Linked DNA regions of Mus musculus. The protein of the gene in region 1 binds, or shares a complex with, the protein of each later gene. Links are inferred from orthologs where the notes say so. Each region holds a gene or a part of one and is shown in the gene's direction. Other genes may lie near its edges.

What was found. The genes of interacting proteins can lie anywhere in the genome.
Region 2: Gtf2h4 (region 1) and Polr2b share a complex: the UniProt entries of both Homo sapiens proteins name them as parts of the TBP-based Pol II pre-initiation complex. The link is inferred for Mus musculus from reciprocal best matches to the Homo sapiens genes GTF2H4 and POLR2B.

The regions. Positions count from the first base shown.
Region 1 is NC_000083.6:35,670,244-35,675,739, reverse strand, and holds the start of Gtf2h4 (general transcription factor IIH subunit 4), read left to right. Parts: upstream 1-1,996; 5' UTR 1,997-2,184; exon of another isoform or gene 2,185-2,225; intron 2,226-2,911; 5' UTR 2,912-2,914; coding exon 2,915-3,054; intron 3,055-3,642; coding exon 3,643-3,747; intron 3,748-4,382; coding exon 4,383-4,514; intron 4,515-4,777; coding exon 4,778-4,874; intron 4,875-4,994; coding exon 4,995-5,083; intron 5,084-5,263; coding exon 5,264-5,375; intron 5,376-5,481; coding exon 5,482-5,496. UniProt on the Homo sapiens protein: Component of the general transcription and DNA repair factor IIH (TFIIH) core complex, which is involved in general and transcription-coupled nucleotide excision repair (NER) of damaged DNA and, when complexed to CAK, in RNA transcription by RNA polymerase II.
Region 2 is NC_000071.6:77,316,249-77,320,960, forward strand, and holds part of Polr2b (DNA-directed RNA polymerase II subunit RPB2), read left to right. Parts: intron 1-3,715; coding exon 3,716-3,828; intron 3,829-3,962; coding exon 3,963-4,182; intron 4,183-4,706; coding exon 4,707-4,712. UniProt on the Homo sapiens protein: Catalytic core component of RNA polymerase II (Pol II), a DNA-dependent RNA polymerase which synthesizes mRNA precursors and many functional non-coding RNAs using the four ribonucleoside triphosphates as substrates.

The DNA.
Region 1 (5,496 bases):
ATCAGTTGCTTTTGTTCTTTTAGCTTCTTTTCTTCTTAAAGAAGATTATTATTTTTAAGTTATGTATATGCACAGATGTGTCCAGGTGCTACAGAGGCCAGAAGAGGGCATTGGATCCCTCCCCCTGGAGCTGGAGTTACAGGCATTTTATTTCTGTTAGATTTCTGAAGCAGCTTAAAGGGACAGGGGGCAGAAAGGAAAATGGAGACTGACTTCAACTGACCGGACGGTTTTTTTCAGACACAGCGTTAAAGTAGCATCTGCCAAAAGGAGGGGGGTACTTGGGTTTATATAGGAGGTTTGAGGAATGGGAAGTTAAATGCCGATTCTGGGGCTATGTGCAAGCCTTCAATTTCTCCCTCCTGGAGAAAAGGCCATTTTATCTTTAGATACTGACCGGCCTCGGCTGAGAGCTTGGTAACGGCAGTGAGGGGGAGGGGCTGGTGTTCCAATATAGGGCCTAGGTCAGGATATGGTTAAAGGTTTATTCTAATATTACAACCAAGATAACGTCAGACTACTCTAATTTTTAAAAGATGACTTTTATTATTATGGTATGTGAGTGCAGGACGGTGAAGGCTGGGATTCACATCGCCATGGCATGGGCATGGAAGTTGGATATCTCTCCCCCTCTCTTCAGGTCACAACATAGCAAAGCCTTTACCCACTGAGCCATCTCACCAGCCAGTGATTTTCCTTAAAATACATAGTAAAGCATAATCAAGTCCTTACATGGCCTTACCATTTTTGCCCTTGGTAAATGTGTTTCTCATCTCGGTACTGGGACTTTCTTGTGCAGATCTCTTATTCTGTTTTTGTTTGTTTGTTTGTTTGTTTGTTTGTTTTTGGTTTTTTTCGAGACAGGGTTTCTCCGTATAGTCCTGGCTGTCCTGGAACTCACTTTGTAGACCAGGCTGGCCTGGAAGTCAGAAATCTGCCTGCCTCTGCCTCCCAAGTGCTGGGATTAAAGGCGTGCGCCACCACACCCGGCTCAGATCTCTTATTCTTGTTGAGCTTGATAGCCTGTGATGTAAGAATAACAGAATTTGCCCCCATAAGAATTGGAGACCCTACAGATGACCTTAGTTGATGTCATTTTCCCTTTCCCTTGTCTTGCCTAGGATAAATTCATAAATCAAATCAGGGCAAATGATAGCTTTCTCTTAAAAATTGCAATGTAATCTTCTAACTCCCCAGGGAGTTGGAAGAGATTAAGATTGAGTGAGCAGGTGGGAGGATGGTGGAGAGATGGCTGTCCTTCCAAAGGGCCCAAGTTCAATTCCTAGCACTAACATAACAGCTCACTGCTGTATGTAATTCCAGTTCCAGGGAATCTGACTTCACATAGACATTTTGATTGATTGAGCTCCAAATGAGGGCAATTGTGTTGATCCACGTCATGTGAAGATGTTCTGCACTGATCATTATCTCAGTTTCGTGAGGAACAACAGAGGTCAAGAAACCCAGTTTGTCGCCGGGTGTGGTGGCGCACGCCTTTAATCCCAGCACTCGGGAGGCAGAGGCAGGCGGAGTTCTGAGTTCGAGGCTAGCCTGGTCTACAAAGTGAGTTCCAGGACAGCCAGAGCTATACAGAGAAACCCTGTCTCGAAAAACCTAAAAAAAAAATAAGAAGAAGGAAGAAAGAAAGAAAGAAAGAAAGAAAGAAAGAAAGAAACCCAGTTTGAGGTCTCTACATCTAACATAACACCACTAAGCTGCTTTAGTACGTCTCCGATAGGAGGCCCCGGAGCTCCTCCAGGTTTGCTGCCTCCTCCTGATCTGACAAGAGATTCACCTTGCTGTATAGGGGAGAGAGGCGCGGAATCAAAAGGTCTGACTTCGGATGTTTCTAGGGAATCCCAATGAAAAGCCACCTTTTCTCGGCCGGCCTTCTTGCGGTGCCTTTAGGGATTTGTAGTCAGAGCCTGACTCATAGTCTCCAATGTAGGCTAGAAGAGGACTACAATTCCCAAGATGCCTTGCGACAGGCGAGTGCATTGCCTATTCTAACCCCCTTTACTCTTGACACATTTCTCTGCTCTCCCTTCTCTTTGGACTGCTTATTGACTGGGTCCTGTCTGTGAAGTTCTTCGTGGTTCTCCCACCTTTTAGAATTCTCATCCTTTATTTCCAGGAGCCAATGCGAGACATTAGCACTGATTAGGCGACGGCTGGTGACCCGGGGTGCGCGAGGGGGAGCCGAGTGGTGAGGGGGTTTGAGAAGGGTAAGGGAGAGAGTTGAGCGAGAAGCGGAGTGAAAGGAAAGTCGGGGAGATGTGAGGAGCTCAGAGGCGTGGGTCTCAGTGAGAGGGGTAAGGCTGGCTGGAGGGAAAGGGATAGAAAGGGATTTAGGTTGGTAAGCATGAGGCAGTTTATAGCCGTGTCCCCAGATGAGAGCTAAGGATTTGACCCATTTGGACTGATCTGACCAGGAGGGTGGACAAGAGAGAGAAGCCTGGGCTCAAATAAGTATCTTTGTCAATGCTTAGGTGAACTTGAGATGTCATTGATATGCAAAACACTCGCAAGTATGAAACGATAAGTAATTCAGTCCACACCGGTGAGGATCTGGATTTGATCCTCAGGACCATACACAAAAATGAGACTAATTCCACCTCCTGGAGACTGAACAAAGGCTGAACTTCAAGGGCAGATATGGGATGAAAAGCCTGGTGGCCACTTGGGAAGTAAAGGCAGATGGATCAGGGGTTCAAATCCATCCTTGGCTCCATAGCAAATTCAAGGCCATTGTGAGCTGCATAATGAAGAAAAGAAGCAGGACACGAGGGGTTTGGGAGGAATAGGTGATAAGTGGCATCAGACAGGAAAGTACAGAAAGTGAACCTAATAGATCTGGAGTCAGTGATATAGGCCTGGGTCATGTGGGAGTTCTGACATTTGTCCCTCTCAGGTGATGGAGATCACCCCGGCGAGGGGTGGACTGAACCGAGCACACCTACAATGCAGGAATCTCCAGGAGTTCTTAGGAGGCCTGAGCCCTGGGGTGCTGGACCGATTGTATGGGCACCCTGCCACTTGTCTGGCTGTCTTCAGGTGAGGAGCCTTCAGAGCAAAGGGGATGTTTGGAGAATGTAATGGGGCCTGCAGACTGAAATTAGTTAGCACGGGGAGAGGCTTATTAGCCCAGCGTGAGTACCAGGGTGTTAGACATTACTCCAAAGTGTGTCAGTCCAAACCAGAAAGAGGTTGTGGGGACAGTGGGACTGCTAAGGACGTGGGAGATGGCATGAGACGTTTGAGAGACAGAGGTTGCAGGGTATTTGATCACATAGTGAACTCCAAGATTATGAACCAGAAAAACCTTGTTATTGTGGCTCAGCCCTAAGCACACACCTTTTTTTTAGCCAAGGGCTAATGTCAACCGTAGGTCAAGAGATGGAGCAACCAAGTAAACAGAAATTAGCAACGTTGAGTTGAAGGGAATTTAAGACAGTGTGGAGAATTCTCGGAGAGGGAGCTTTTTCTTTCTGGGATGTCATTGGAGAAAAAAAGGTCAGCTGGGTGCTTTCTCTGCCTCTCTGAGCAGTTGGGATGTTTGTTTTTTTTAAACCACAGGCAGATGAGGGCAGAGATGCAGGTGTGAGGTGGCTTCTGATAACATTTGGCCTCTGAACCTTACAGGGAGCTCCCCTCTTTGGCTAAGAACTGGGTCATGAGGATGCTCTTTCTGGAGCAGCCGCTACCACAGGCTGCGGTGGCCCTGTGGGTGAAGAAGGAGTTCAGCAAGTGAGTCCCGGGCGGGCGCAGCTGCTTCGAGCTTCCCAACAGCCACATTTCTCAAAGGACTTTTGTTTGGAACACTTGCAGGGTGCACACACAGAGGAGCTAGGGGAATCAGATGTGGGCCTTTCAACAGAGCCTGCCCTACACAAGGAAAACCCTCCAGAATACACCTGCAGAGGTTTCCACTGTGGAGAGTTGTGTCTCTTTAGCTGTATGCTAACTAGAACAAAACAAACAAACAAACAAAAAGACAAAGGGGAAAAAGCCGCCCCCGCACTCCCCCAACCCCAAGTTGATAGGTAGAGATAGGGAACCAGAGATTCAAGGATTATATCGTAAGTTTGATGTATTGTAAGTTTGAGGCTGTCCCAGGCTTCATAGGACCCTTCCTGAAACAAAACAAATGAAAAGGAAAAAAAAAAAAAAAAGAATTGACTTAGAAAACAAAACAGAGAAACCAACAACAATCAAAACGAACTAGGTTCTCCTTAGCATTGCAGTGCAGGTATCTGAGGTGAGAAACACAGCTTCGCCCTGCGACACTGTTCCAAGGGCCTCCCGTTCAGAGGAGATAGATGAAGCTCCCTGGAGGTCTCCTTGCTATTGGTGATACCCCACTCAACTCTGCTTCTGTCCAGGGCTCAGGAGGAAAGTACGGGGCTGCTGAGTGGCCTCCGTATCTGGCATACCCAGCTGCTCCCTGGTGGACTCCAAGGCCTCATCTTGAACCCCGTCTTCCGCCAGAACCTCCGAATTGCCCTTCTGGGTGGGTACGTCATTTCCCTCCCTTCCTGAGCTAGGCAAGGGGAACTGCTTATTACACTGGTGGGGGAGAATCTCCTGAGAGGCCTCCCCAGAGCCTCTCCCCATCCCCACCCCCACCCCTTGGAATGCTCCTTCAAGAATACATTGGACCAGGTGTGGATGTAGGGTGCAGAAAATGTCCTTTTCTTGTAGCCCTTGGGATGAGGGTAAAGACCTAGGGATGCAGGAAGCAGACAGGGTTCCTTACTCCTGTGTATCCTGGCCACAGGGGCAAGGCCTGGTCTGATGACACAAGTCAGCTGGGACCAGACAAGCATGCCCGGGACGTCCCCTCACTGGACAAGTATGCTGAGGAGCGCTGGGAGGTGAGGAGTGTGCCTCTGCTGTGCGCCCGTTCCCCCTGGGAGCCGAGGAACCGGCCTCCACTGTGCTCCGGTTCCCTGTAACCCTCGAGACCCCAGGCTCCTGACCCTTTTCGTCTCTAGGTGGTCTTGCACTTCATGGTGGGCTCCCCCAGTGCAGCTGTCAGCCAAGACCTGGCTCAGCTCCTCAGCCAGGCCGGGCTTATGAAAAGGTAAGGAGGGCAGAGCACGGCAGCTCTCCGCTCGGCCATCTCCTTGGGTCTCATATAAAATGGGTGTCTGGGGTTAGGAGGAACTGGAGAGAGCTGGCTGAGAGGAGGGGCCTAAGTGTGTGTAAGATGGACTCAGTGCAGCCTTTGCAAGCTGCCACCATCAGCCCGCTCTGTGTCTAGCACTGAACCTGGAGAGCCACCCTGCATCACTTCCGCTGGCTTCCAGTTCCTGCTACTGGACACGCCTGCCCAGCTCTGGTACTTCATGCTGCAGTATCTGCAGACAGCCCAGGTAAGAGCCAGGGCCTCGGACGGATGGCGTGCTCCTGTCCCGCTGAGTAACTCCCTCACTCCCTCTTCCTGTCTCACCTCCTGCCGCTCTGCCGCTTCCTTCCCAGAGCCGGGGCATGGAT
Region 2 (4,712 bases), on another chromosome or scaffold:
TTCTTTTTAGTTTTTATTTTGAGGCAAGGCCTTGGTAAGTTGCCCAGACCAGACTTGAATTGTATATCCTGCCTCAGTCTTCCTAGTAGCTGGGATTTACAGATATGCACCCAGTGCCCTCAGTGAGTACTTAGTGGTTGGGAAGAGAGAACTCTGTAAAGTACCTGAGACATGGACTGGAAACAGTTATATAGTTTTGGATGATCCCACAGTCTAAGAATCATGAGAGAAAGGCTGTTTGAAGGACAGTTTCCTTCTCTCTCTTCCCTCCCTCCCTCCCTCCCTCCCTCCCTCCCTCCCTCCCTCCCTCCCTCCCTCCCTCCCTCCCTTCCTTCCTTTCTTCTGACAGAGTGTCTCTGTTACTAAGGTTGGCCTTGAAGTCATGATCCTTTTGACTGGCCTTCTTGTGGATTGCCCAGACTCTTGATTTTTCTTTATTGCATTGTATGGAATACATCATTAAAATCTGAGGTCAAAAAGGGAAATTAGGCATAATAGCTCGTTTAGCTTTTTTGCTGATTTTTAATTCAAACACATGTGGTTTTTAAATTATAGCAAGGAGAGTAATAGACCAGATCTATTACTGTATAATTTTACAGTTTTTTAAATAAGTGATTCACAGAAGTCCAAAATAGTTACTGAGTGTTCCGTTTGCAGAGAAATAGAGAGAGGCAGCTACAGTAGCATCTTGGTCTCTGAGAAACAAGGAAACTGCAAAACAACATGAGGTAGGGTCAGCCAGAGAAGAGCTAGAGGAAGAAAGGTTATTATCTCTAGCCGGTCAAGTCCTTTTTTTTCTAAATTGTATCCTGAGATCTGGTCTATTACTCTCATTCTAATTGAAGCTGCTGCACAGAATTTTGCTTAAAAGCAAAAGTAAATTGGCTTTTCAGGGATTGTACTTGAAAAAGGACCATAATGTGTTTTTTTAAGTCTCCCAAGTTATTTTCTCGTCATGATCTTTGCATAAGTGAAGAGTTAAAAGTCAATTCAGAGGGCCAGTGTGGTGAACACTGCAGGAAGAAGCTGTTTCTAAAGCTCAGCTGATGTAGGAAGATGGGGAACTTGAGCTGGCAGTCAAGGTAGGGATGGCTTTCCTCAGAAGAGGTGGCTTAGGTCTTTGAAAAAGAAAGTAGTTGATGTACTTAGCTTGAGAAGTGGGTGGGGCCCACAGTAAGCAGCATATGAAATTGGATGTATCTGGTTGTGAGAGCATTGGGTGAAGGTAAGATGGAGCCAGCTTATCAAAGGCTCTGGAGAATTTGTTGAAGGATTGCCAAAGGATATGTCTAACATACGCATTTAGAAAGGTAAATGGTTCTACTTGAAGTAGAAAGGGTCTAGAGATGATTGAGAGTCTTGGAGCAGCTTAGGCGTAAGATAATGTCTAAGGTGATGGTGGGAAAGAGGGTGACTTGTCCCTTGGTTCGCTGACAGCTCTACTGTTCCCTCTACTCTGGCTTGGGAGTAGTTTTCCTTCATAAATGATCTGCTTAGTTATCTCTAAGATTTGATAATAGAGAGAAATCCTGTGTCTATTTCTGTCAGAATAGTTCTTCTCATGGATTGCTTTATCAGGCAGCAGATACATGTTTAAAAACTTGTTTGTTTTTTGTGATAATGGGAATCATGGATGGGACTTCACGTAGGCCAGGCAAGTGTTCTACCGTGAGCTAAATCTTCAGGCCTCACAGAAGAGTTTCATTGATGGTCAGTCAGACTGGAAGCCTTTTTTTATAGAAAGATTTGGGTTTTAAAAGTAGATATAGCAGGGCAGTGGTGGCGTATGTCTTTAATCCCAGCACTTGGGAGGCAGAGGCAGGTGGATTTCTCAGTTTGAAGCCAGTCTGATCTACAGAGTGAGTTCCAGGATAGCAAGGGCTACACAGAGAAACCCTGTCTTGAAAACAAACAAACAATTAAACATGTAGATATAATTGAAGAGTTAGGCTTAACTTTATCTCCTCCCTGTTCTCCGCCCCCTTTGGACACTTTGTACTTTCCATCCTCACCAGTGAGAGCGCACATGTAAGTGTATAGATCATTAATAAGGATCATCTTGATTTCTGCTGTCTCTCTGCGCTTGCACATGGCCATCATGGTGCACATAAATGTCCTGGCTGATGTTTTCAAGAGCAAGTGCCAGAGTCACACATGACCCAGTTTTGTTTTGTTCCCTCCCCCTCCCCTCCCTTCCCCTCCCCCCTCCCCCCTCCCCTCCCCTCTCTTCTCTTCTCTTTTCTTTTCTTTTCTTTTCTTTTCTTTTCTTTTTGGCACGGTTTCTCTGTATAGCCCTGGCTATCCTGGAACTCACTCTGTAGACCAGGCTGGCCTGGAACTCAGAGATCCACCTGCCTCTGCTTTCTACGTGCTGGGATTAAAGGTGCGTGGTACCAATGCCAGGCCATAGTCCAGTTTCTGTCTGTCATGATGAAATGTAGTTACATTGGAGAATTTGAAATCACTGATGATTTTAGAACTGGAAAAATTATTGTGCACCATACAGGCAGGAAAGATAAATGTGTAGTGGTTAGCCCCAGATTTGAGCAGCACTAAGTTTTATTAAAATAGCAGGATAGTTTGCTCCCATCCCGTCAGTTTGGTGTCAGTGTATTGACAACCTCAGCTGGCATCGTGGTCCCTGCAGAAGCAGGATGAATACACGGGAGAAAGTTCTTGGGTTCCTTTCTCAGGATGTAAAACATAAGTAAAATGCCTGGCGGGGACGGCCGGCGGGAGCTGAGGGGCAGTGGGGTTGGGGAACACAGTTTTGATTTTTTGAAATAAATTTAGAGCAGATGACATATGTGGTAAATAATGACTGTTTGGGCCAGACAAGGTGCTGTATGCCTGGGAGGGATCTCAGCATGTGAGAGACGCAGGCATGAGGCTCCAGTAGAAGGCCTGCCTTGGATGTGTAGTAAAGCTGCACAGTGAGGCCATCTTGAGCTGAGGGAGTCTGTCTCAGCTCCCCCATTCCCAGTGAAAAAGGCCTCCTCAGATATAAGAGATGAAAGTTCTGAGTTTGGTTCCTAGGGCTCCTGTGAGGGTCTCACACCTTCTTCTGGCTTCCTTAGGGACCTACACATGTGGCATTTACTTTCAAAGATAATATATCCATTACCTAGAAATAGAGATAATCAAAATCATTTATTCATTTATTTTTGAGACATTTTCTTTATATAGCTCTGGGTGTCCTGGAATTTCTTTTGTAGACTAGGCTGGCTTCAAACTCACAAAAATCTACCTGACCCTGCCATCTGAATGCTGGGATTAAAGGTGTGCATGACCATGCCTGGTTTAAAAAAATATATTATCAATATATATTATTTAAACTTATATAATAATTATATTGGTATAACAAGTATATTGTATAAAATACTAATATAAATAATAATACAATAGTAGTTATGTATAATATAATGTAGGACAAACCACATCACTGTAATGTGGATTTTAACTTTAGAGCATCCTCATGTCAGTAAAATTGGTTAGGTTTTGTTAGGTTGTAGAGTTGCTTCTACTTAAAATGCTAATGTCAATTAAGATGGAGTAATTACTACTTCAATGTGTATTTTGGGGCAAGGTTTTGCTATATTGCCTAGTCTGGCTTTAAACTCATGATTCTCCCACCTTGGCCTTCTGAGTGCTGAGGTTACAAATGTACAGTAAAAACCTGGCTTTCCAAACTTATTATGCTTTTGTTTAATTTCAGCCAAGATATTTACTGAAGTTTGAACAAATTTACCTCTCCAAACCTACTCATTGGGAAAGAGATGGTGCCCCTTCGCCAATGATGCCAAATGAAGCCAGGTTAAGAAATCTCACGTAAGAGAGACCTTTTTTTTTTCCTTTGTTAGCATCTGATACTGAATTAAAACAAACAAACAAACAAACAAACAACTTAAGTAGTTATTTTAGCAAATAACTTCTGGCCAGTTCTGACCCACTTCTATTTGCAGGTATTCTGCTCCGCTTTACGTTGACATAACAAAGACAGTCATTAAAGAAGGTGAAGAACAGCTGCAGACTCAGCACCAGAAAACGTTCATAGGGAAAATTCCAATTATGCTGCGCTCCACCTACTGCCTGTTAAATGGCTTAACAGATCGTGACCTGTGTGAGCTGAATGAGTGTCCTTTGGATCCCGGTGGCTATTTTATTATCAATGGATCAGAAAAGGTATAGTGGTATTTAAAGCACACTAAAAAGATAGTTAACATTGAAATTACTAAAGTAAAATTAAAAGGTGTGCATTCTCAGGTCTGGAGATGGTTCAGGACATAAGACCACATGCTACTCCTGCTGAGGGTTCGAATTTGGCTCCCAGTATCACCACAGGGAGTGGCATTGTCACTTGTAGCTCCACTTCCAGGGTGCTTGATGCCCTCTTCTGGCCTCCATGGCTACCATACACACACACACACTCTAAAATGAATTTTTATAAAATGGAAAGTATGCATTCCTACAGATAATCTGAAAGTGACAGTTGAGTTATTTAAGGTGTGATACATAAACTTTTGTAAATGAAAACTTTATGAAATTGTGTATAATGTTCATTAGAAATTTGCCAGCGGTTATAGCTTGTATATTTCTGTGAAGTATAAGCCTATATGACCAGACTAAATAACCATGGAGGTTTTACTTCTTGCCATTTCAATGACCTTTTTTGTTTCTTGGCTGTAATTTTCTTACTGTTTCTATAGGTTCTG